Linked DNA regions of Mus musculus: all the other regions are reported to be linked to region 1. The links are microRNA targets in miRTarBase. Many come from high-throughput screens and were not tested one by one. Region 1 holds a microRNA gene; each other region holds the end of a gene's coding sequence.
What was found. The annotated mature microRNA mmu-miR-124-3p reads UAAGGCACGCGGUGAAUGCC and lies in region 1 at 1,464-1,483, shown strand. An mRNA with a match to its seed (bases 2 to 7 or 8) in the 3' UTR can be bound and repressed. Matches are read on the target gene's strand: a 7mer-m8 pairs with bases 2 to 8, a 7mer-A1 pairs with bases 2 to 7 and ends in A, and an 8mer does both.

Region 1 (5,102 bases):
GCCAGCAGGAGGCTAGGACCCCTTTCTTTCCCCCCCCCAGGAGAGAGAGGCTCAGAAGCCACTGTGTAGAGTGGTTATTCCGGAAGGACCAGCCGCTTGTGTGAGGCAAGCACAGTGTGTTCGCTGCACAGCGGGGTGTGGCTGGTGGTGGGTGTAGAGGAGCTGCGGTCGGTGGGCTGCGGGAGAAGCTTTTGCGTGGGTCGTGCAGTAGGACAGAATGAGCGGTTCGAGAGTGTCCAAGAGGCAGTTTCTCTGCATACGTGTGACCCCGGGGCGCCGGGCACAATCGAAGGCGTTCGAGGGCTGCATCCGTGTGAGTCGAGGAGCGCGCGGAGCGGGACGCCGAGCGTGTGCGCGGGAGGCACGGGTCGCGCGGTGCGTGAGTGCGCGTGTACGCGGTGCGCGTGCCCCTCAGTTCTCAAGGACACCTCCGAGAGGAGGCGGCAGAGCCGGTGTCGGGTGACGTCACCGCGCGCCCCAGTGATAATCGCCCGGTGCCGGAGCCGAGCGCGGATACGAGCGGAGGCAGCGGCGGCGGCGGCGAGCGCGGGGACGGTCGCACCCGGTCTAGGCAAGGAGAGTGGGAGTCAGACTCCCGCAGTGCCGACCTCGCGGACGCCGGGCTCCCACCCGGCCCTCAGGAATTTGCCCGGCTTCCTTGGCACTGTCCCTGCGCTCTCCTCCACCCGGGGCCGTAGCGTGCGGGTCCTGCGGGCGCCAAGAAGGAGGCGGAGGCGGGATCGGGCGACAGCGCAGGCTGTGCTGCGGAGCGGAGGCGGCAACCGAGAAGCAGCAGGCGGCGGCGGCTCGCGCCCGGACGGGTAACTGCGCTGGCGGCCCGTGCCGGGGCGAGCCGGTCTCTCAGGTCACCCCGTCTTTCTCTCCTCGAGCAGCTTCTCGCCAGCCAGAGGCGTAAGAGAAGAGAGCTCGGCGGGTTGTAGAAAGAGACTGCTTTTCATCTCCGAACATCGAGGTTCTTTATTTTCACCGCACTCACGCACTCCTGGTGGGGCCGGGAAGAGGAGCCGGGGAAGGGCAGCTGCGGAGAGGCTTGCGCCGCCGGGGTGGAGAGGGCTCTGCACCCGTCAGAAGACTGCAGCAGGCCGGAGCACGCGCGCTCACCCCGGCCGGCTCCTGCATCTCCCTCGCCGCGGCTCCGAGGGGTCCCTACTGCAGGAACGCCCCGAGGGATTTGCCCGGGCCCTTCTCTACCTCGGGGAGGGGAAGGAAAACTGGCTCCTCGGAGTTGGGGGCGGACCAGGGCAGCACTGCCAGCTTAGCGCGGAGCCCCGCCCCGCCCGCCCGCCCCGCGGCGAAGAAGCTGGAGCATTCGCGCCCCTCAGGCTAGGACCCCACGCAAGCCGCAGCCCGGCCCCGACCCGGTCCAGCCGCTCGCCGCCCGCCGCAGCCCTGAGGGCCCCTCTGCGTGTTCACAGCGGACCTTGATTTAATGTCTATACAATTAAGGCACGCGGTGAATGCCAAGAGAGGCGCCTCCGCCGCTCCTTTCTCATGGAAATGGCCCGGGAGCCCGGCCGTCGCGGCGCCCCTCCCGCGGGAAAAAGGCGAGCCCCGGCCCCCGGTGGCCCCTCGCTCCGCGGACAAATCCGGCGAACAATGCGCCCGCCCAGAGGGCGGCCCAGCTGCTGGGCCGGGGATCTGGCCGCGGGACACAAAGGGGCCCGCATGCCTAGGACGTCACGAGAAGGGTGGGGGCGACCGCGGGGGAGAATGTGGCCACCCGGCCCCTGACCACGTGTGTCCGCAGCTCTGAGTGCTCGAGATCCCGAAGAGGGAGACGAGGGCCAGAAGACAAAGGGAGGGGCTGGGGAAGCGGCGGGCTGAGGGGCGCGGGAGGGAAGTGTGCAGCTTCCCGGGTTGTGTTGGCGCGTCCCGCTACCCACGGGCAGTCCTGGGCGCTGTCCTCGGTGCTGGCCGTGGAGTCACCCAGAGAGACGGGGCGCTAATGCGCTTGGGGCGAAGGGATGTCATGAGTATCACTGTTCCCATCTAGGGGGCCCTGGATAGTTGCCGCAGCAACCCCAGAGAAATGGGGTAGGGTCTGGGGTCACTGCAGTCTGTCCCCTGGGCGCTCTAGTTGGGGTCGCAGGGTGAAGGCGGTGATCACTTTGATTCTGAAGAAACCCCTGAACCTTAGGTTGAGGTTCGAGCTGTGGAAGTGGGGGATCTGCATCTGCATCCAAGGTCTAAATCTGGGTGGATACACTGGACCGCATCCCGCCCCCAAACCTCTCTCCAGCTATGCGGGACGCGAGGCACGTGAGGCTCTGCAGCCCAGAGAGAAAATGACAAATCCTCCTCCTCCCTCCCCCACCACCATCTGCAGCCGCAGTGACACCCACTCAGGTCTGCTGCAGGCATTTTTTTTCCTGTCCTCGGCAGCCAGCGCCACCTGCTGGCGTCCTGGTATGAGACTCTGCTCTGGCATGTCTCCTCCCAGCAAGGTTTCCGATCCCCAAGGTTACAGGCCCTATTACCTAGGGCAATGGTTCTCAACCTTCAGAATGCTGCTACCCTTTAATAGAGTTCTTCATGTTGTGGTGACCCCTCCCCCCAACCATAAAATTATTTTCGTTGCTACTTCGTATTTTGTTGCTACTTCATAACTGCAATTTTGTTACTGTTATGAATCCTAATGTAAATATTTTTAGAGATAGAGTTTGGCAAAGGAGTCCTGATACACAGGTTGGAAACTGATGACCTAGGATTGACTGTCAGTGGAGGAGGTCACAACCTCTGCACCCCCACCCCCTCAGACAAGTTGCAGACTTGCTTTTCATCTTCATGGGGTGAGTGTGAGCCCCTTTCCTGGCTCTGACCCAGATCCAGAACTGACCGCCCAAATTCTCCTAGCCTCAAGTCCTGTGCAGTTGCAGAAAAGCAAGACAAAAGGGCCCGCGTGAAGACACAAAGAGATGCTGCAGGGAGACTGCTTCAGTACTCCATGGAGAGATGCACACAGTCACACACTCATAGACCACTAGTGCCTTTGCATCCTGTCCCCAAAGCAGAGCCTCTGCAGAACCTCTGCCTCTTGGAGGGTGGAGAAGGGGCCCAAGCATACCACAGCTCTGACCTTGGGCTTGCTGTCTCTTTTTCCCTTCCTCCCTCAGAAGAGCTGCAAGGTGAACTCAAAGCAATACTGAAGGAATTGGTAGAGGTATCAGTCCTCTAGTGTAAAGGTTCCTAGGGGGCACAGGACTATGCCCCTCGTTGAGCTCTGTTGGGGGTGCTCTACACTGCAGCCTGGCTCTTTTCCCAGAGGGAAGATTCCCCCTGCCTCTCCCCTGGAACTAGAGCTCCATTCTTGTGCCACCGCTGCCCTTGCTGGAGAGTTGGCTCCTGACCACAGTGACCTTCTGGGCTGTGAGCAGAGATCGGGGTGGGGAGGATGGTAAGGGAGGTGGGCTGGAGAGTGGATAGGCGGTAAAGCCCATGGCAAGCTGCCCTGTGCCCCAGCCCAGGTTGAGTAGCAATCACCTTCACTCACCTTCATTGCACCCCCTTCAGTGGAGGCTAGGGGCTTCAGTTCAGGGGCACAGGACCAATCTGGGCATGGCTAGCAGACATGGGGCATTCGGTAGGAAGGCCATTTTTCAATCCTTACTGTGCTCAGGGTGCAGCACTGTCTGCTGGGGTGTGGGCAGGCCTCACGCAGGTGACTTAGAATCTCAGATCTACCCGTAGGGGGCTGAGTGCAAGCATCACTCTCTGACTCTCGGGACCAGCAGCCTTTTCTGCAGCCGCGCTTTGTAGCCTTTGTGGGCTAGCTTGGATGTCCATCCCTGTTTATCCTAAAATACATTCATCCCTACATAGACTGCCTGATCTATTTAGAAGCCAAGGCTCAGCATACGGGCTTGTTGGGTGCCAACCTGGTCAACAGCAAGCTGGGGAAAGAACATTCAGAACATTCACATAAACCTCCATCGGCACTGGGCCCTCTTAAGTGTAGGGACTAGAGAAAGGAGAGACACGGTTCGAGCATCCAATATAGTACATCTCCACTCCGAATGAAGCGCAGCATAGCTGCTGTCCCAGAGCAGTCACCTCATAGCTTTCTTGGGAAACCCTAATTCTCTCCAGAGGGGAGCATGTCACTTTTAGCCTTTTTGTCCTATTGGGACTGGAGATGCTTCAGAATTCAGCTTCCTGTCTCCATACTTCCAGCTCCCAGTCACAGCACTTCACGTGGAAGCATCCAGGAGCCCCGCACTGCTTGCCCTGAAGTCTGTGCTCTGGTAGTCTCTACCCGAGGCTCCAGCCTCTCTGCGCCTCATCGCCCCAACCTTCACTCCTGATGCAGCGGGTGGGGGCAGAGATGTTTCAGAGGGAAAATTAAGATGCTAGAGTGCTCCTGCCATAGCTTGTTAGAGAGACAGAAGAAAACGTGGGAAGAACTTCAATTGGCAGGAGGGAGCGAAGAGGGTCTGATTCTGCATGGCGGCCCCATCCAAGAGGAAGCAAGACAGGTATCAGCTTCTCTAGTGCACACACACAGATCTCCTCCCAGCCTCAGGCTATGCCCAGTCCACATGGCACACAAGTTCTACTTTCCACAATAGAGCTTCATTGGCAGCACCTCCCAGGGGTGTGATCAAAAAGTCATGGGAGTCCAGATTGCAGGGGCCTCTACCTTAGCCCATGCCTGCCCACTCGTACCCTAAATTCTACAGGATTCTGCCTTTACCCAACACAGGTTCCCGGACCTTTGTTACCAACAGAGGTCTAGGCTGCTCCTCAGCATCAGCTTGACCAGAAGGGTAAACCAGTATCCCCATGGCTACCTGCGACCTCCTAGTTGGTCACATGAGCAGGCCTAGGCTTCCTTGGAAGCTGAACCGTGAAAGTGCTGGCTCGGGCAGAATTTGATTTAAAGGGAGGATGAAAAGGGTCCGTTTGCACAGCCTGTTGTGCCACCTACACCCTCACAGCTGCTCCCATCCCTTCAGAGCTTAGGTACAGATGTCCCTAGCTCCTAGCATCAGCCAAGATGTAATAATAGCAACAAAAATTAATAGTAATAATAGCAACATGCCTGCCCTTCCAAGGTCTACACTTCCTACCTGGCTGCCACAGCC
Region 2 (5,102 bases), not on the chromosome of region 1:
AAAGATTTATTTATTTTTATGTGTATTGGTGTTCTGCCTGCATGTCTGTGCAAGGATGGCAGATGAGCTGCTGTGGGTGGTGGGAATTGAACTTGAGTCCTCTGGAAGAGCCATCTCTCCAGCCCCGGGTCCTCCTCTTAAGGTGCCTTTTGATTGAGCTGTGTTCCATCATCCCACCCTACTAAATCTCACTCTTCTATTTCAGCTGAGCCTCTTTTTTCCCATCGTGTTCTGCGTCTGCTCCTTGTTTCTGGTGGCCGTACCCCTCTTCAGTGACACCATCAATTCCCTCATTGGCATTGGGATTGCCCTCTCTGGGGTCCCTGTCTACTTCTTGGGTGTATACCTGCCAGAGTCCCGGAGACCACTCTTTATTAGGAATGTGCTGGGTGAGTGTCTCTTTGCTCCCATTTGCCCCACTGTTGGAGGCTGAGTGCTTATGTTGAGGGCTACACAGAGGCTACCAACTCTTCTCCTTCCTTATGGCAAAAGGATAAGACCTGGTTTCCCATCACACTTTTTTGTGTTCTACTCTAGGGCTAAAGCACTGTCTGTTTTTTCCAGTGTTCTTGGGTTTGTTGTATTTTTTGAGAGAGGGTTTTGTGTAACTCAGGCTAATCTTGACCTCACTATGTAGCTGAGGATGACCCGAGACTCCTCATCCTCCTGCCTTTAACCAGGCAGGAGTGCTAGGATTCCAGGCGTGTACCACCTCTGGGAAGAGAAGGCTGGGTGTGGAGTGGAGAGGCTTGCTGGTTGTAAGGGACAAGACCAGGCTTTGTGTGGCTAAGGGATAGGTGGGAAGGCATCACAGATATTCTTTCAGCCTTCTGCTATTGAGATCGTAACTGCAGCGAGTGTGTTTGCTAAGTCCTGTGCTTCTTATCTTCATACAGCTACTGTCACCAGAGTCACCCAGAAGCTTTGCTTTTGCGTCTTGACTGAGCTAGATGTAACTGAAGAGAAAAATGTTGAGAGGAAAACTGACTAGAAGCCAGAGATGACATTCCCTGAAGCCCAAAAGGCTGTGGTCGCAGCCACCAAAGACCAGTTCCCTAAACCTTCTGAATTAAAGGAGCCTCTTGGCCCACATTCTGTAAGGGGGCTCAGGGCCAATGCTCTCTCATTGGTAAGCTATGGGAAGATACCAATTAGGCCAGCCTGAAGATGGGGACTTCAGTGGGAGGGGAGGTTGGGCAGGGCATTGATTTAGTTTTACTTCTGATGAGTAGATGCAGCCCTGAAGGAATATTAGACTGACAGCTCTGGCTCTTGATTCACAGCTCTTTGTAGTTTAAACCAGGAGTCTACAGTGGGGCTCCTTCATGGGAAGTTTTCCTCTGACCCTCTGACCAAGTCCAGCTACTTGATTTTTAGAGGTCTGAAATGCTACCATTTCTTCCTATGGCTCAAAATTCTTCCTTGAGGAGAGCGTTGTGTTCCCCTTTTTGTTTGTTGGGTGGCATGAACAGCAAGGTGCTGTGTAACTGACATGGGATCAATGTGTGCCTCCTTCCTGAATTCCACAAGAGGAACAACACTCCCTCCCTCCCCGGAACTTCAGGCTCAAGCAGACAGTGAGCTTAATGGGAAGCAGACTGTTGAGGATCTAGGCATGAAAGTCCTCTAACTCGTGGATCCGAATGTTGCTGTGTCTTTGGGATCTTATTGTGTATAGAGTGTCCCTCTCCTTGAGGAGGGGCTGCCTGTCTGACTTTGCTTAGGTCACATTAGCAGTATGGTCAGGATTCTCAGGCAAGGAGGTGAGCTTCTGGCTTTTCAAGGAATTCGACTGGGCCACTTGATTGTGCCCTTCCTAGCTGAATCCATGGTGCTGTGGAGCCCTTGAAACAAGGGCTGAGAGAAAAACCTCACTACTCCAGCTGAGTGGAGCGTCTCTACTACCTGGACAAGCCACAACTGTCACCAAATTTCAACTCCTGTATGTCATTATTTATTGATATTTAATCCAGGATACCAGTTGTAACAAACCATTAGTGATCATTTCTCTATAGGATGCAATAAGTGAATTGTGTTTTTATCTTAGCTGGCCTGGTTGCACACATCTGTAATCTGAACTTGGTATGGTGAGGCATAAGGAGTTTGAATTTGAGGCTAATTTAGGCTACATAATTTCCAGGTAGCCACTCTGGAAAGATCAGACAAGATCTTGTCTCACAATATACCTGTTATACTTTAATATACAGATAAGTCACATGTTATTATCATCTGGCTCAGATCCAGCAAGGACAGATGAGCAACTTCATGAGTCATAATACTGCTATTTTGAAGGACAATCCTTTGTTTTATTAAGACTGTAGATCTTTGTTCTACTTGACATAAAATAAATCTTTGGATTTTTGGTATGAACTGCAAGAGGCCTGGAATGTTCTACATAAGGTGTTATGCAAAATTCAGGTAGATAACCTGATTTATCAGTTGTCACTGGACTCCTGGATTCAAGTCAAATAGTTTGTTATCTTTAAGAGCCTGTGCAAGATTGGCTATGTATGGACTCACAAAAGCCCACTCTGCTGGAAGTGGTCACTAATTTTCTGAAAGCACCAAGCTTTGTTTACATGCTTGGGTCATGGGACAGTATACCCGCTTGCCTTCTCTTGTCCAAGGGCTGGGCAGGTGAGATTGAAGTCTCAGAAAATGCTTGGTACTTGTGCATCTGTCTTCTCCCTATGAAGATCGATGAAGACTGTGGGAGAAAACAGCTTCCACCCCAGCCTCGCTCCTGGTAAACGGTAGAAACTAATTCTGGTGATCGGACTAGGCTGCCAGTTAAAGCCAAAGCAATAGGCGTGAATCTCTGTGAGCAGTGTGTCTACACAAGATTGTAGAACTCTTTTGATGCCCTTAGACATTGCCACCTTGGACACAGAAGAACCTGCTATGCTGTCTTGGCATCCTTCAAGGACATTTCAAGTTTTAGAATTTGTGAACAATACAGATAGTAACTATGTGGCAGTCTCCCAGTACCAAACTGGCTCTAGACTCACAGGAGTAACCTTAGATATATGCTTGCTCAATAAAGACTTAGGGGAGTCTAATCACAGTTGCCATTGGTTCTGGACATGCATCTCTGAGAGAGTGACATTCCTACTGTCATGGGTTGGGAATCCTGTCTGATAAGGAGCTTTGTGTAAAGACTGACTTGCCTAAGCCATACAAGCATGATTCATATCTGAGCTAAGCTGGTATCCATTCCAAGGCTCTGCTAGAGCAAAGCAAGTTATGACCCTGGTTTTAGTGGTCTTTGGCCCTTAACCAGCTTATCTCAGGAGTCTGCTGCCCTCCAGTGGTTTCTAAAAGCAGGGACCTCACACTGAAGGTGCTCTATTACTTCCTTAGTGAGCCATGTTCTCATCGTCACTTGACTGATAGCATTTTTTTTCTTTCTAAGCTGAACACAGCTTCCCCCAGGAACCTTTTCTGTGGGAAAGAAACCAGACTTGTACAGCATTCAAGCTTGATAGTGGAATTCTTCCCATCAGGTCTTTTGTCTCTTTGAATCCACCTCCCAGTGTGCTAATCCCATTTATAGTGGTACATTGTTCCCCTCTTGTAGTAGGTACAGCCTGTGAAGTTGTTGGCTCTTTAATGTCAGCGTTAGCATAACAGTGAGCACACTGTAGTGGTAAATAGAATTTTACTCCTGCTTATATGCCTACAGATCAAGATGACTAGTGTTAGATACCACATTGCTGCCTTTTGCTCAAAACACTGAATTGTTGATACTCAGAGTAACCGAGATAGTTTTTGTTGATTGGTTTGATTAGTTCCAATAACCACTTGGATATACAAATTAGATCACTTTGACAAGTTTAATAACTTCTACTTAGGTAAGTGAAAGGATGTGTAGAAGCGTATGAACTTGTAAGTACTTGGAAGAAGGCATCTGAGTTACTTTCCCATGGATCTGTCACAGGAAGAGGGTATTTGCTGAATTGAATGTTGCCTGTTACTTCCCTACACCTAGTGTCTGCTACAGTAACTAGTCACATGTAACTAAAATCTAGCCAGTTTGATAAGTGTCCGTGCATTACACTAGCACTTGGAAGATTAAGACAAGATTGCAACTTACATTTAACTCCCTCCCCCACAAATGCTGGTTGTGGTGGCTCATGCCTTTAATTCCAGCACTAGGGAGGCAGAGGTAGGTGGATCCCTTCTGAGGCAGCCTCATCTACACAGAGACTGTATCATCCCCTCCCCAAACAAAAACCGTTGAAGTTTCTCAGTTGCCCTAATCATATTTCAAGTGCTCAGAAGCCACACAGGTGTACCGTGGATACACAGAACATGCTGTGGGAAGTTTTATTGGACAATACTACATCTAGGGCTAAGGCAGCTGAGATGCTGAGTTCTGGTGACAGTGTCCTATTGATGACAGTTGGCCTTCCATGTACGGGCCCTGCATTTACTAATCTACATTTTGGGGCAATGTGCCTATTCTAAATATGGAAAGATTTACTCTCATTCTCCAAAGAGTTGTGGTATAATAATTTAGTGTTTACATTAGATTTTTATAATCTGAAGAGGCATAGACTTTGTAGACATACCGTGTCATCTTATGTAAGGGACTTGGACACATGGTGGTTTTTGGCAGCCCTAGAACCATATAACAAGGGTGATGTATGTAATGCCTTGGGTGAGTGCTATAAACAGTTGACATGGCCCATAATGTTTAAAGTTAATTTTGAAACATGTAGTTCACCAACCTCTCCTTTTTCTATGAGGAAAACACCTAAAATAATCAGATCTAAAAAAGAACTGCTTGCTTCTGTGTAAAAAGTTAAGTTTTTATTAAAGATCATCACATTCATACATACTGTTCCTTGGTACCACTGCCAAAGGTGATAGCAGTCTTTATAACCATTATCAGAGTCTAAAGGGGGCGGGGGGGGGGGGGGGGGAAAGACATGACCGCCCTGAGGCGGGGGAGTCACTGTTGTCCTTGCAGAGATCATCTCCATCACTGGGAGCGGGCTCTCCCTCCTCCCACCAGCTTCTTTAGCCCTGAGCATATAAGTAAAATGACAGAAAAACCACCAGGGATGGAGGTTTTACATCATTTTATTTTCCAGAGTGTA
Region 3 (5,102 bases), not on the chromosome of region 1:
CCAAGGGTTAGATGATGGGAATGTTCATTTCAGTGTTGCTCCCTTGAAGAACTTCCTATGCTCTCTGTAGTCCTGGTGACAAATCTGTGAGATCCAAAAACATAGAAAGCATTAGTGGTGGTTCCCTTGTGGCTCTCACCACCAGTCTTCAGAGGATGTAGCTGAGCCTAGAATGTTTTTATATAATACACTCTGTGCTGTGTTCTAGACACGATAGGACTTTACAGGGCAGGAGCTGTGGTGGTGATGACAGCAGTGACTCCCTGTCTTAGTCCAGTAATATGCTGTACTGGAGTCTTAGAGCTGAAAGCGAATGAGCAGATCACTGTGCACAGGGGCCTTAGCACTATGCATGTGCTCTGCCTCTGAGCTGTGTGCTCATAAAATATGCAGGAACTAGATATACAGTCTTAGAAGAATGAAAATAGCTGCCCCTGTTGAGGAGCTGGCTCTGCCAGCTTTAGTCCTTAGTGCCACCCTGTGACCCAGGAGCTAAACATTGAGGAAGATAGAAGTAACAAGCGCATGCAGGCAGCTAATGGGCTGGCTGGATGGGTGCAGCTGTGGCGAGTGCTTCATCCTGTGCTGCTTCCTCATGCTTATTTTATCCAACAGCTCAACTTACTAATGTTATAAGATGGGGCTATCTAGTTGTCATCAAACTCACTAATGTATTTGTCTTGTAGGAGCAAGTGGTGATGAACTTGGACAGCAGACTTCTGATCTTCCCTCTGTACATCTGCTGTAACTTCTTGTATATATCACCAGAAAAAAGAACTGAGAGTAATCGTCACCCAGAAAACCCAGGACACTGAGGCACTCATCAGTGGCCAGTTTTAACTTAATGACCTACTGCGTTCACGTCCAAGGTGACTAACAGTGACCGGCCTTATGAACTGTGGGACCCTGGAGATGTCCTCACCCTCATTACATTTCTATGCACATATGAAAAAGTTTTTTAAAACTGAGAAAGCATCTGTCAAACCATGTTAAAAGGATATCAACTCTTGCTTTAATTTAGTAGCAGTAAAAATTGCTGTAGGTAAATTTCTCATTTCTTTGCAACAAGATATAGATTTAATTTTGAGCTTGAATTTCGATCCTATCTAATGTTAGTGAGTTTACTCATCTGTAAATGTGTTCCTGTTTTGTTAAGAGAATGCTAAGGACGGAGTTTAAGTGGCCAATCATAAATGCTCTTTCAATTGGTGCCTTTAAAGCTGTCCTTTCATTTGTTCAGCCACCTGGTGAAGTCTTGTGTTCAGTTGAGATCCTTTCCAGAATCTTCTTCGTTTTAGCCATCAGATCCCTTGTCATGGTTTGGGAGATTAAGCTTAAGAGTTGGTTTTGTTTCGTTTTTCTTTTTTCTTTTTTTATTCTAAATATAAGCATTTTCATATTTTTTTAAACTTTAACTTTCCTACAGTTTTAAATGACAACAAGAATCAGCTTGAGGACTTGAAATAAACTTGAATAAGGGAAATCAGTTTGATTCTGAGGATATTCCTTCGCCTTACGTGCATGGTCTTGTCTGGCATTCTGTGTACTCTTATGTTATGAATTATTTATGTACAGATACATCGTCACACATTTTCATATTCTCTGATAGTTGGAATTTATGTCAAATTTTAGTTGGGAATCTTGTTTCCTATTAAGCTCAGGACTTTATACCCTCTGAACTGAGTGCCTTTGAGTCACATACATAAGTAGATTTCATGGTGAATGTACAGGGGGAGCTGGGAACAAAACAGTCGTGTTAGAACAACTTACCTTGTCAAGAATAAGATGTATGCTCATCCCGATCTGTATGTGTTGGTCCCTTGTGTTTATTGCTATTGAAAATAGCCTGGATCATTGTCCTCCAGTCAGAGTAAGTGTTTTTGTGGTTGATGTATGTTTTTAGTATTTTTTTAAATTGGAATCATTTTTATGTATCTGTTCAAATAATAAATGCTCATTTGGAAAAGGAATATGCTCCTGTTTAAAGTGAACTTAAAAAGCTTATTGAAACTAGTTTTTTTAGTTTTGGGGTTTTTTCAAGATAGGGTTTCAAGATAGCCTTGGCTGTCCTGGAACTCACTCTGTAGACCAGGCTGGCTTTGAGATCCACCTGCCTCTGCCTCTCGAGTGCTGGAATTAAAGGGGTGTGCCACTATCACCTGGCTGAAACTAGGATTCTTTTTTTTTCCAAGTAATTGATCCTTTGTGTTTGTTTTCTTTTAAAGCAGAATTCTGTTACGACTAGGAGAAAAGACAGCCGGGCTGGAAAACTGAGTCAGCGGCTTCTGGGGAGGAGCTAGAAAAGGGAGAGAAAGCTTGCTCTGAGTTAGGTCCCAAGGCAGGCAGCCTCAGCTGTGGAAGGCTGCAGGACAGACTTCGGTAGATCTAGCAGGCTGCAGGTATGTCTGGTAGGAAAACAACAAAATGTAGAAAAGAAAGGTTTAGCTGGGCTCTTACTCTCCAACACACAGCACCTACTCCTGCCTGCCTTTAGCTTTGAATAGTTTCAATGGTGGCTTTTCTCTGCTGGCAGTCAGTGACAGGTTCACAAATTATCCTGTCTTTCAGAATTCCACTGCTGTGAATGCCTCCTCCCTCGTAGAGTTGTTGTCTGGAGATTGCTAAAGCAGTGGCTGGATCGGTGAGAGGCTACATTTCTGACTGTGCACCTGGCTGTGATTATCTCTCTCCTGCTGCTCTTTTCTTTCAGATGCATAAGAGATTCTTTACTCTTTATATGTTAAGTTAAAAAACAAAAACAAAAACCAAGAAAACAGATAAAGCACACTTCTGTAATCCCAGCACTCAACAAGCTGAGGCAGGAGAATCTCAAGATTGTGGGCAGCCTGGGATGCATTGCAAGACCCTACTTTAAAACATCATCAACAGAGAACATAACAACGACAAACAATCATACTCAAATATATTTTTACAACTCTTGGAAATGAAAGCGTAAATATACCAACAACAATTTAGGTCACTAGTCAGGGTGGTTCCTGTTGGTTAGCACACTCTCCTGGTCACTGTCAGCTTACAAAGCGGCAGCAGTGTCAGGTGACAGTAACCATCGAATATGGAGACTTCATATTTGTCAGCCCTTCTACATAGCCTCTGCCAAGTTCTGGGTGAGTTGGGTTTTTATTAAATGTTAAAACTAGAAAGCTATCCACCAACAATAATTTCTTTGTCTATTATATCAGTTAAGAGAATATATTGTAGTTTTTTTATTTTTTATATTTTTAGAATTATTTATGTATATAAGTATACTGTAGCTATCTTCAGTCACACCAGAAGGGGGCATCGGATCCCATTACAGATGGTTGTGAGCCACTGGGTGCTGGGAATTGAACATGGGGACCTCTGGAAGAGCAGTCAGTGTTCTTAATCACTGAGCCATCTCTCCAGCCCCCATATTGTAGTTTCATCCTGAATTATTACAGAGGGGCATGGACACATGTGCGTGCACACACACACATACTTCCAGTCCTTTCTAAGAATTTACCTTGAACCTTGGCAAGAGAGTAAGCAAATGGAAGCAGTACTGGCCACTAACTTTTGGGGTTAGCTTTTCTTCACATGGGCTCTCACTGTGTAGTCCAAGCTGGCCTCAGACTGGAGATCCTTGTGCCTATACTTCCCAGTGTCCGTGCCTCCCAAGTGCTGAGGTTACTGCTCAGTACACCCCGGAAATGTGTTCCCTTATGCATTAGAGTTGTTAAGTGTGAGGTGTGAGAGGTGGTTAAGCCCTTTGTGAGCCAGTGCAGCTTTTATAGAGTGGTGTCCTACCTTGTCCTTTGTCGATCTCACACCACATGATGCACTCCGGCCCCATGATACCAGAACCTCCACAGGTTTGCACTGTAAGTTACCCCATCTCTGCTATCATACTCAACAGACTGCAACACCCACCCAGATTCATAGCCTTATCTCCAGGGTGTTTTTCTTTAATTAGTCTCTCTGTATTACCACAAATTGTCCTCAGAAAAAACCCAAGTCTACTTCTCTTCCCCACCCCTAAAACTTTGAAGAGGCACCACATGTGCCATCAGGTCACCCTAGGTCTCACCTTCATATCCCCCACCTCTTGCAAAGACCCTCCCCAGCTCACATTTCCCCCTTGTTTTCTGGCTGGCTTCTACTCCTTTCCTTCTGGAAGCTCTTCTGCATGACCCTCCCCTCATCTGTGCCTTCCTGCTGTCCTATTCCTTGCGGCTACACTTCTGTAACGCTTCCTTGTCTGTATCCCTCTCACGCCTACAAGCCTCTCAAACTTAAGTACCTTTGATATCTAGATATGCAATGTATGTGAATAGTGTGACTAGTGGTGATGTTTTATTTTCTGATATTTCCACACCTCGTACTTTGCTGAGAGGGCAACCCGTGGACTCCCTTCACATGTGCGTCTACACAGAGCAGCCAGTCCAAACCTTACTTCCCCAACCACGTCTTTTAATTTTGTTAAAGGTTGACGATGCATGTGTCCCCTGCATGTGTGCATTGCACAGTGTGTGTGCCTGATGTTGGGCATTGGATCTCCTGGGATGCGATCATGAATGCTTGTGAACCACCTTGTGGGTGACTGGGAACTGAGCCCCAGTCCTCTGAAAGAACAAGTGGTATTAACTGCTCAGCCATCGGGCCAGCCCTGTTGTCTCTTTAAGCCAACTGTCAGGCCAGGCCAGTGTTCCCTGCTTGAATCACTCATGGGCTAGGTACCAGATGACACAGACCACACCTCCCAGGGCCTGCTGCGATGATTTTAAAAACTAGCTATCTATCGCTTGACTTTGGGAAATGTACTGGATGGTGTTGATTGTCACCTCAATGGGATTTAGAATCACCATGGAAACTAACTAATCTCAGCATATCTCTTTGTGGGGGATTATGTCTATATGAGGTTGGGGTGTGGGTGGCCTATCCTAAATACAGGTAGTGCTATTCTGTGACTCAGAGTCTTGGACTGTACAAAAAGGTGGATGGCTGAACCTACAGCATTCAACATTGTTTGCTTCCTGACTACAGATGTGGCTGTAACCAGCCACCCCAAGTTCTGTTGCTATGCCTTATCTGCCATGCTGGGATCTGCAGTGGAACTTTGAGCC
Region 4 (5,102 bases), not on the chromosome of region 1:
TGAAAAGAGAGGCCCACTGGTCTTGCAAACTTTATATGCCTCAGTACAGGGGAACGCCAGGGCCAAGAAGTGGGAGTGGGGAGGAGGGTATGGGGGACTTTTGGGATAACACTGGAAATGTAAATGAAGAAAATACCTAATTAAAAAAAAACTAGATATAAAGGTTGAGTGTACAGTTCACTAGTAGAGCACTTGCCTATACTTGCCTAGCATGAGGACGGCCATGATTTGGTCCTGGCACCACCAAAAATCAAGAGAGCAAAATGAGGACATAGATGAATTCCGTCCTAAAAATCTCATCACGTAGGTATCTGCATGCATATAGAAAGGAGAAGGAACTTGTCAGAATGTTAGGAACAGTGATCTGTAGGTCATGGAATTATAGGTGATTCCTATGCTCTTAAGTACTTTTTTAAAACACAGAACATGTATATGTATATGTACATATGTATATGTGCCTCTCATGTGCAGTGCCCAAGGTGACTAGAAGAGGGCATCAGATCCCCTGGAGCTATTATTATGGGCAACTGGGAATACCAAAACCCAAGTTCAGATTCGATGTGAGAAAAAGAAGTAATCTTAGTGGCTAAGGCATTTCTCCAGCCCAAAGCATTACGTTTGTAATAAAAACAATTTTTGAGGACCTGAGAAAATCCAGTGAGGTTTGCAAAATAAACTTAGGTGATTTTGAACTGTGTAATCTATCCAAGAACATCTTACCCTGCTGCCTCCTGTGCTCTCCTTTCTCCCAGGGTGACACTTCCGGAGACTACAGGAAGGTTCTGCTCGTTCTCTGTGGAGGAGATGATTAACACAAGACGCCGCAGGACAGAAGGCTTCTGAACACTGATCTTTTTTTTTTTTTTAACTTCATTTTTCTGCACTGCTATTAACATTATCTCAAATGCTTATTTCCAATTAAAACGCCTCCAGTTGCCTCCTGGGATGCAGACTATGTTATTATCGTCTATAATTAGTCATTTTGATGCCTTAAACTTGTACTTTCAAAGCTTTCAAGACATACATGGAAATTTAGAATTAGAAATTGAAATGTGCTCCACGTCTTTATCAGATTATTTCCTCGTTTGTGTTTTGTAGAGGTTGAATGTACTAAATCCTTTTAGATTTTCTTTTCAGTACAAATTTTACAGATCAGAAGCCATTTTCTTCCCTAGGAAGCCAGTCATTTCTTCACGTGGGACTGTCAGCATCTCTTACTAAGATTAGCCATCTAGATTCTTATTTTAGACAGATCCAAAGTTCTCACAAGCCCCCTTTCTTTGGCTCTGCCTATCATCGTAGTTGACAGTTGCTGAATATGGTGGGGCTTGCTTCATCTCCTTCTACCCTGAGACCATTTTCTTCCCGGGAAGTGTATGAAACAGAGTTACCAACTCATCAAACAAGTTCAATCTCAAGTGTGGCTCAGCAGATCCCGTGTGCTCGGTCGTTCCTCGTGCTGAACATTCCTCAGTCTTAGGGTCACTGTCCTAATCTTGCTCAAAGTGACAGTCAAGAGTGGCCTCAGCCAAGGTTGCTCTGATAATGCAATGCTCTGGGTGTGGCTGACCTCAGAAGAGTTTTTCTGCTAAAAATAATTAATCTCGTTAGACTGTTTATTTGATCCCCACTGTGCCTTTTTAATCTTATTCAGAAACTGTGCTTGCATTTAATCATGAAGTTTGGTTTGTATACAACATGAGACATTTTTAATTAAAATGGTGGCTTTAAAGGGGTGTGTATTCTTTCTCTGATTTTTTTTCTACCCTAGAGATTTCTTTTCACCCTGAACCATGGAAGGAACTACTTTTGAAGGAATACTAAATTTACTAAGGATACTAAGTTTCTACTTAAATTAACAATATTAAAAAAAGAAACACATTAATCATTATGTCAGCCTGCTTCTATAAGGCCAATGTTTACATTGGAGAGGTGGAGGCAGGAAGATTGGAACTTCAGGCTGTGCCTGGCTACATAGCCACTGTGAGACCAGATTGGGCATATGAGTCCCTGTCTCAAAAAGTCAAAACAAGATCTGGGGAGCTGGCTCTGTGAGTAATGTATTTACTGCAGAAGGACGAGGAGCGGTGTTGGAATCCCTGGCACCAATGTGAAAGCCAGGCAGAGCCAATGAGTGTGTGCCTGTAATCCCAAAGCTGGGATGTGGCGATGAACAGATCCCAGGGGCTCACTGGCCAGCTAGTGTAGCTGAATCCCTGAGCTTCAGTTTCAATGGTAGGCCCTGTCTCGATGATGATGGTGGTGAGGAGGAGGATGTGGTGGTGGTAGTGAGGAAGAGGATGGAGAGTAAGACAATGATGTCAGCTTCTGATTTCCACATGGGTGCACACAGCCACACACACACACACACACACAAACGATGAAATTGAGATGGCTTAGTGGGTAAAGGCTCTTTCTACCAAGCCTGACAACCTGAGTTCAATCCTTAGAACCCACGTGGAAGAAGAAAAGAACCAAGTCCCCCAGATTGTTTCCTTCTCCCATAAGCTAAGGAATAACACCCCTCTCTCATATCAAAAACGTAACGAAACCAACAAAACCACTAGCATTTAAATATGCTAAGGCCTACTCAATGGTATTGAATGACATGTTAGCTTGTTCTCTGAAAACGAGTGATTCTCTGCTCTAGTCAGTGCAGCATGCCTTTTAAGTGTCACATGGAACTGAGCTCAGTGGGGTAGCTATACCCTGTGTTCTCAGCACCACAAAGGACAAAAGTTGCAGATGTACAAAGAACACACACACACTCCTTTGTTCTTTCTGCGTTGGTACTGGGATCACTGACAACATTGCTATGTGACAGTCACTCCAATGAACTTAGATTCAGGTATCAACGCTACCACCTCAGGACTGTGGAATCTCTACTCCAACTTTATTACACTTTGGAGGCATTATTAGGTTCTTTGTTTTGGTTTTAACAGAAGTTTTACCATTACGTGGTGTCTTAGCCAAAATTTTAAGAACAGTGTTTTGTGGCTGAGTGCTTTCAGTGGGCTGTTTTTCTTATCCTTAGGTATAAGTTCAGGGGGAGGGTAGAAAGTCACAATTTTCTGCTCACTCTTGGCTTTTCAGAAGTCCTACTGTGTAGCTAGCTCCTCTAGGCCCCAAAATAATGTCATCTCAGTCATCAACATAATAAGCCAAAGTTCCAAGTGTAGTCTGAGGTTTCTTTCCTCAGTCAGTTCTGGCCTCAATGGGATGCTGGCTTGGGGAAGGGAAGTCAGGGCAGGGGACGAGGGCAGGGGACTGGAATGGGGGGAGGGCACTTCTCTTTTTCTCCATCATCCCTGCTTGTAGCAACAGTGAGAAGAGCAGAGGGGATCAGGTCAGTTCTTGCACTGCCCTTGCTCTGAGGGTGGAGGCTAAGTCCTATGTGGCTGTGGCAGGCTCTTACAGACATTGCCATGGCTCTCCTCAGTATCCAGGGAGCCATTCACCTGCGCTTCCTTAGACAAGACCAATATGGATGTTTTACCCTCTAGGAATTTAGTGACACATGAAGCCACCATGTTACAGTCTAGCTTGTGCATACGCCAAGGCCTCTTTGTTTTTGTTTTTTGTTTTGGTTTTTCAAGACAGGGTTTCTCTGTATAGCCCTGACTGTCCTGGAACTCACTCTGTAGACCAGGCTGGCCTCGAACTCAAAAATCCGCCTGCCTCTGCCTCCCGAGTGCTGGGACAATGTTTTAAGATGACCTCACGTATGTTTCATATTATGTACATTCCTGCGTGTCCCCTGCAGCCACCGTAGTTCTCTTCCTCCCACTTCTCCTTCAACCAGCCTCAGCTACACACCCTCAGAATTTCTCAAACATGAGAAATTCCTCAGTGGCTCACAAAGGACATATACTGCTATAACGGAGTGCAAATGGTGAATTGATGCAGTCAGTTCCGGGGGGGGGGGGGCGAAAAACTGGCAAGAACTCGTAAAGTTGAAAATTTCCCAAGAGCCCGTTTCTGGGATCTGCCTGATGAAGCTTTTGCGAGTGGTGTTCCTGAAAGAGCATCTACGTAGAAATAACTGAAACCCCTTGGCAAGGGAGTAGGCAAATGATGTGTCTAACAATGAGCAGTGACAATAACTAGAGATTCCATTCAAAGTATAGTTTTAGGAGAGGAGAAATCATAGGTTTGGGATGGTCCAATTCCATTTAAATTACATGTCTGAATGTGCAGCAGAAGAGTGGTTATACGTGTAAAGACATGCATAGAAATGGCACAGAGAGGGAGAGGCTGGAAACTGAGAATTAGTACACAAGGGGTTTCTCATTCCCCACTATATATCAATAAAGCTAAAGGGGAGTGAATCAAAGTAAGTGTGATAGAATTCCAAGCCAGTAGTAGGTCCACAGGTACTTGTATTGCTCTGTTTGAAACATTCTATTATAAACATTTTACTTTGAAAGGTATAAAAGGCAGGTATGGTAGCTCAGTGCCTCAACTCCTAGCACTTAGAGGCTGAGATAGGCGGACTTCTGAGAGTTCCAGGGAAGCCTTGGGCTTCAGAGTGACACTTTTCCTTGAAGAAAATTTAAAAAAAAAAAAAAATCGAGGGCCAGGGATGTAGCTTAGTTGGTAGAATGTTTGCTTAGCATTCAAGAAGCCCTGCATCTGATACTCAGCATTTCAGGTCCACGAAGGTGATGTGACACATACATGGCTGTAATCCCAGCTTTCAGGGGGTAGAAACAGGAGATCAAGAGTTCAAGAGCATCCTATACAGTGAGTCGAAGTATGTAGTACGAGACACTGACACAATAAAATAATAATTAAATCAAAACAAGGCAGCAGAAGGAAGGCAAGACCTGGAGGCTAGCTGAGGCTCCAGACTGAACCCGGTCAACACAGCTGGGTGACGGTCATCTATCTAACCGGGCCAGTCGGGTCCTAGAGCCCTGGAAGCAAAGGCCATGTTGGCAAGTCCGTCCTCTTATTAACCGTACAGGGCTGGATGAGACCCCGGAATCGAGGAAGCTTACGGGAAGAACCAGCGACAGAGATCCCGAGATCTGTTAGGCATAAGCACACAGTGCCCACGCCCCTCCGTTGAAGCCGGAACCGCGGAAGTCAGACACGCACCG
Region 5 (5,102 bases), not on the chromosome of region 1:
GATGCCCTCTTCTGGTGTGTCTGAAGACAGCTACAGTGTACTCATATACATAAAATAAATAAATCTTTAATTAAAAAAAAGTCTTGAATGCAGGCAGATCTCTGAGTTTAAGAACAACCAAGGCTACTCAGAGAAATCCTATCTAAAGCGTTCCCCTCCCCCAAAAATCTAAGTGTTTTATGCAACTTAACCTACTTTCTGTCAGGTACCTTTCTGCCAGCTTTTATGAAAGAAAACTAATCTTTGCCTGAACGTGCCCCAAGGAGGAGGAGACTAATCCCATCAGCCTGCCCATGGGGTCAGCACACTGTTAGTGTCCTCCCTGCCATTCCTGCCCTGATCTGGCACTGCTCCACAGGGAACAGAGTCAATGAAACCAATCGGGTTCCCCTTCACAGAACGTGGATTCCAACACTCAAGGCCCTTCCAGCACTGTACATGGTGCCAAGGGGCACAAGCCTGATGGCGAGCCATCTGCACAGCCGACATCTGGGGCATGGGTAGGGTTTGAGCCTGCTAGAGCGAAGACTGACAGGAAATTGACCATCTGCAAGGTAGTGAGACTTACTTTAGTATCAGCTTCTTTCCCAGCCTATCAGTTGTAACAGGATCTCCTGTTGCTCGGCCTGGTCTCAATCTTCTAACGCTCCTGCCTCAGTCTCCCAAGTGCTGGAATCACAGGTATTCACCACCTTATTCAGAAATACTAATTTTTTTATTTGAGCCATTGTATTTGATCCTGAAGACCTTAAAAGCTGGAACAGGTATCTCATAAAAGTACAGGTAGCATTGAAACCTGAAAGTTCCTCATGTCAGGATAGTGTCCCGTGTTGGACAGTTATTACTCATGACTTGATGCTTCAGTCCTGTGAGGTGGGCAAGCATAGACGGTTACCAAGAGCCTCAAGGTGTCTGGTGGAGGGGTGTAAGCTGCGCTGACTATCCTTGCTTCTTTTCCAGCACAACATGCCCTTCTGGAGGATCACAAACCACGGAGATCTGGTGTCCCTGCACCAGGCTTTAGAGCTTGACTTCCTCTGAGAACTGGAATGTGGACCCTTCCTTCCTTGTGAGCTTCTCTTTACCTCCAACAGGAGCCAGAAGCCAGAACCCTCTGAGCCCCTTCTCTCCTGTCTGTCTCTCGGGTCTCAGTGCCCCCTCCCCCTTCTCTTCTGCTCTTTCTCCCTCCATGAAATGCTGGCGAGAACACAATCAGAACCAACAACTGCAGTTATTCTGAGTGAGCTGCAGCCCATGTCCCCTGTACAGCAAGAGGTGGCTGGATAGAGCTGCAGACCGGCTGCCGCTACCGTGCTTTAATTTTTCTGTTTCAATTGAAAAAGGAAGAACAAGAAAAGCCGATGCTTGGGGCACAGTTGTACTCTTGCTGCATGACGGACTGACCGGGAGCTGCTCCTGATGTGGATGGAAACTGTCCCCTTGAGATCGTCTTCTGGTCTCTTAGCTATAGAATGTCTCTCCCAGTGAATGGGTATGTTATTTTTATAGGTGAGGGTCTGGTCTCTACAGCAGCCTCCCCCACTTTTCTATGAAGAAAGCCGTGTGTAAAGTTTCCGTGACAGTAGTAATGGAAATATCTAAAATACCTCCGTGACTGGACAGGACAGAGGCTCCAGTGCTCTGCTCCCTGGGGAGGCTCCTTGCCATCTACAAGGCCCTGGTCACTTACTTTAGACTGTGGCATCTCCCATCTTGTAAGCCTCGGTCTCCTTGGCAGTCCTCCTTCATCTGTAACTAAATGGCACAACCCTGGAAACTCCTTCCCATAGACAATAAATCTAAGCCTTTAGCTTGTACTTCAGAAGTTCTGTCCCAGGAGGCTCAGCCTCCAGACTGGAGAGAAGGGCTCAGATTTCTTAGGACTTTCACCTCGTGCTCCTGCAGAGCAGTACCTGTTCCCAGCAGATGCTTCCTCTGTGGTCGGCTCAGTCGTCAGATGCTGGCCTCACGTCCTGTCCTCACAGCTACCTGTCTCTGTGCAGCTCTGGCCAGCCCCTACCCACTCATTGCAAGTCAGAAAGGCCAAGGGGGCAGGCTCTAGCTGCCTCCTTCACCTGCACTTACATGCGGTGATCCCACCTTGTATTTATACAGATCTCTGCCTACGAGTGGAGAGCAGAGAGCTAGAGTCAAAACCCATGAAATATCCCACTGCTTAGAGTCCATGCTGAAGTGGGAAACCAGGCCAGAAAGACTTTCTTGACTTAAGTGCTTAAAAATACAATCCTGAGCTAGGTGCAAGAGCACCTCTCAAGGCTGCCCCTAGTCAGTCAGGAGGGAAACTGGGCCTTAGTGCCAGCCCGCAAGCCCAGCTGTGTTTTGGTTTTATTTTGGTTTTTGTTTGGGTTTTTTGTTTGTTTTTTACGGCACTATCCCTTCAGGACCAATGTCGGTGCCTGTTTAATTGGGTTAAACGTCCCTAGAGTTGAGGAAATGTGCAGCCTTGGTCTTCAGGAGGTCCTTGACCAACCCCTAGCTATAGTCACTGTCCGCAGCGATACCACAGCCCAGAGGCAAAATTCCTCTTCATGCTAGGCTACCAGATAACGACAGAAAGGCTGACACCACCTTCAGAACTGTTGGACACTTCTGAGTACTTCTGAGACCAGCAGTTGAGGAAGGGGCTCAGACAGGAGGTGAGGTTTGTGTCTTGGCCATTCATTTGGCTTTGTTGTGAGGTACTGGGTGGGAGCAAGGAGCTAGAGTCTAAGTCAGACCCTCCTAGGCTGCCATTAGCACCACACCGCTACCCTAGTCTGGCCAGCCTTGCTTGGTGGTCCAACCTGGGAAACTCCAGGATGAGTTTTACTTCCAAGTCTCAGTCCTTCCCTCATTAACAGTGGAGTTTCTTGTGCTGGACAACGCCACCTATTAGTGCTGTGCTTCAGGCTCACCAGACTGCCAAGTGGCGACACACCCTTCTGCACACAGGTACCACCACAAACACTTCAGGGGAGACTCTTCTTAGAATATAACAGGTAATCCCTTTCCTCTTGCCCTGACTGGAGAGGCAAGGAGGTGTTCTGAGCTGAGTGGCTACTGTTCCCAAAGCAGCTACCCTGTCAGGGTAGACAGAGGAGTGCATTGGTCTCTCCAGGGACTGCTGCCTTTGTGCTGACTCCCTCCCTCCCTCCCTCCCTCCCTCCCTCCCACCCACCCACAGAGGCTTGGGAAGGAAAATGAGCAGGCAGCATCAAGAGCTGCTAGTAAGAGAAAGACAGCTTGGTGGTAATAGCACCCGCAGCTTGTGCAGAGGTCCAAGGTTTGAGCACCCACAAGGCTATTCACAACCTCTAGCTGCAGCTCCAGGGGGTTCGTTGCCCTCTTCTGGCCTCTTCAGGCACCAAGCACTTATATACGTGTAAGAAACACTCATAAAATAGAAATTCCTTTTAATATTAAAAGCTGTTGGAAGTTAGAAGGCAGTCCTTACTGAAGGAACACCTTGAAGAAATTAGCTGGTGAATCTTTTCCCTGCTGGATCCTGTGTTCTGGAAGATTAGTCAGGACATCTCATGGTGACAGCTAGTTCTAGGAGTGTGTGGGGTGGCAGGAATGTCCTGGGATACAAGGTGGCTTGACTTTCGAATGTAAAAGTGACTGTGCCTTAGCATCACCCTGTCCAGTGCCCCTGGGGCAGCCGGTGATGTCCGCGAGAGTGGATACCTGCTCCACATTTTAGGTGCCTACTTGGGCTTTTGATTTGGGGGTGTTCTCTTCTCTGCTAGTCGGGTGACAGCTAGTGTCCCAAGAGACTTGGCACAGCTTGTCCGTGTTCACCCAAGCTCAACCTTCACAGCTCCAAGTAGAATCTGACTGGCAAGCTGCAGCAGCAAGCTCATGGCGCTTCCATAGACACTGCTTTGAATGGGAGTCACACAACTGACAGGAGCACCAGGCAGAGCTCGGTGCTGTCCTGGAAGAGTGCAGGCTAGCCGCCAAGTGCCAAGCTTGGGCCTCATTCCTCACTCTCCCCAGGTAGCTGAGGCCCTTGAGTAAGCGTGTGCTCCCGGCTGCTCACTGGTCAAGCAGCTAGAACTACCCAGACACACCCATTGTAGATGCCAGGTTGGCGTTCTGAGCTTCCCAAACATCTAAACCACGAGGGGGAGAACCCCGCTTGTGTCCCAGCCTCATCTGCGGGCCGCTTGCCCTCCCTCTACCCTGAGTCAATTCTAGTGAGCATGGCTCCCTGGCTGCCTCCTCACACTGAGCGGAGCCATCCCAGTTCAGGACCATTTCTACTTGGATCTCCACTCTCCCTCTGGACTCCAGATGCCTCTGTAGCAGGAAAAGGCATCCATGGGTGGGATATATATATTTATGTGACTGCGGGCATTTGTGGCTATAGAGTCCTTGACCATAATGTTATATGTAATGGGAACTATCTTATAAACTTGAAAAAATAAAGTTTTTATTTTCTATACGGTTTTCTCCTTTGTCTTTTCTAAGCCATCCAGGGTCCTTCATCAAGATGTCACCCTTTAACTAACTGAGTCAGTCATTTCACGCACACACAAAGTCATCCTTTGGTCTATCCTGGAAAATAAACAATTGTAAGTTTGCGAGAGAAATGTTTATTTGAATTGTTTCTAAAATACACTGCTTTTTAAGGTATAGAAATGGAATGGATTTCAGAGCTGTCGAGTGTGCTGAACGTTACCAAGGAGGAGTCAGTCTGTGCTGAGCATTAATTAAGCCGCAACCCAATAAATCCTGACTTCCCGTCCCACCAACCAGGTGTTCTACATTCTGCCACATTTGGTCTGATTGGCCCCCACTAGCTTACAAGAGGGCTTTTTACCCATTGTTCCAGTGAAGGAAATTAGAAGTTGTTTCTAGCTTCCAAAGGTGAGATATGTCGGACTCCAAGGTGAATTTTCTCCGGGAAGTGATCTTCTGAGCCGCAGTGCAGCTCAAGTAGACTGTTAGCTGTTGTCCGTACCCCTGCTCAGTCACAAGTGCAGATTCTAGTGTTGGCTGGTTTCCAAACCCTGTAGTGCTTAGACCCCTGACTCCCGGCTGGCCAAGTGTTCCCGGGATTTGTGAATGAGAGACACACACCATCTAACTTTGATATG

Region 2: miRTarBase lists Slc7a6 as a target of mmu-miR-124-3p. The part of its 3' UTR that is shown has no 7-base or 8-base seed match.
Region 3: the mRNA of Gmcl1 is a reported target of mmu-miR-124-3p. Seed matches in the 3' UTR shown: 7mer-m8 at 1,209-1,215 and 7mer-m8 at 1,684-1,690.
Region 4: miRTarBase lists Anxa4 as a target of mmu-miR-124-3p. Seed matches in the 3' UTR shown: 7mer-A1 at 987-993 and 7mer-m8 at 1,633-1,639.
Region 5: miRTarBase lists Eya3 as a target of mmu-miR-124-3p. Seed matches in the 3' UTR shown: 8mer at 3,624-3,631.

The regions. Positions count from the first base shown.
Region 1 is chr2:180,892,620-180,897,721 of GRCm38, forward strand. Mir124a-3 (microRNA 124a-3) reads left to right here and starts at 1,421; the gene lies at 1,421-1,488.
Region 2 is chr8:106,195,648-106,200,749 of GRCm38, forward strand. Slc7a6 (solute carrier family 7 (cationic amino acid transporter, y+ system), member 6) reads left to right here. Exons shown (of 10, transcript NM_178798.4): 9 at 206-389; 10 at 897-3,067. The coding sequence ends at 991. Slc7a6os (solute carrier family 7, member 6 opposite strand) reads right to left here. Exons shown (of 5, transcript NM_001007567.2): 5 at 4,791-5,102. Among named protein-coding and RNA genes, the nearest start is that of Slc7a6os, 13 kb to the right of the region's middle.
Region 3 is chr6:86,688,636-86,693,737 of GRCm38, reverse strand. Gmcl1 (germ cell-less, spermatogenesis associated 1) reads left to right here. Exons shown (of 14, transcript NM_011818.3): 14 at 687-1,970. The coding sequence ends at 815. Among named protein-coding and RNA genes, the nearest start is that of Snrnp27, 6.7 kb to the right of the region's middle.
Region 4 is chr6:86,733,474-86,738,575 of GRCm38, reverse strand. It overlaps Anxa4 (annexin A4), which reads left to right. Exons shown (of 13, transcript NM_013471.2): 13 at 753-1,736. The coding sequence ends at 812. Among named protein-coding and RNA genes, the nearest start is that of Gmcl1, 2.6 kb to the right of the region's middle.
Region 5 is chr4:132,720,319-132,725,420 of GRCm38, forward strand. It overlaps Eya3 (EYA transcriptional coactivator and phosphatase 3), which reads left to right. Exons shown (of 17, transcript NM_210071.2): 17 at 961-4,447. The coding sequence ends at 1,041. Xkr8 (X-linked Kx blood group related 8) reads right to left here. Exons shown (of 3, transcript NM_201368.1): 3 at 4,586-5,102. Among named protein-coding and RNA genes, the nearest start is that of Xkr8, 9.7 kb to the right of the region's middle.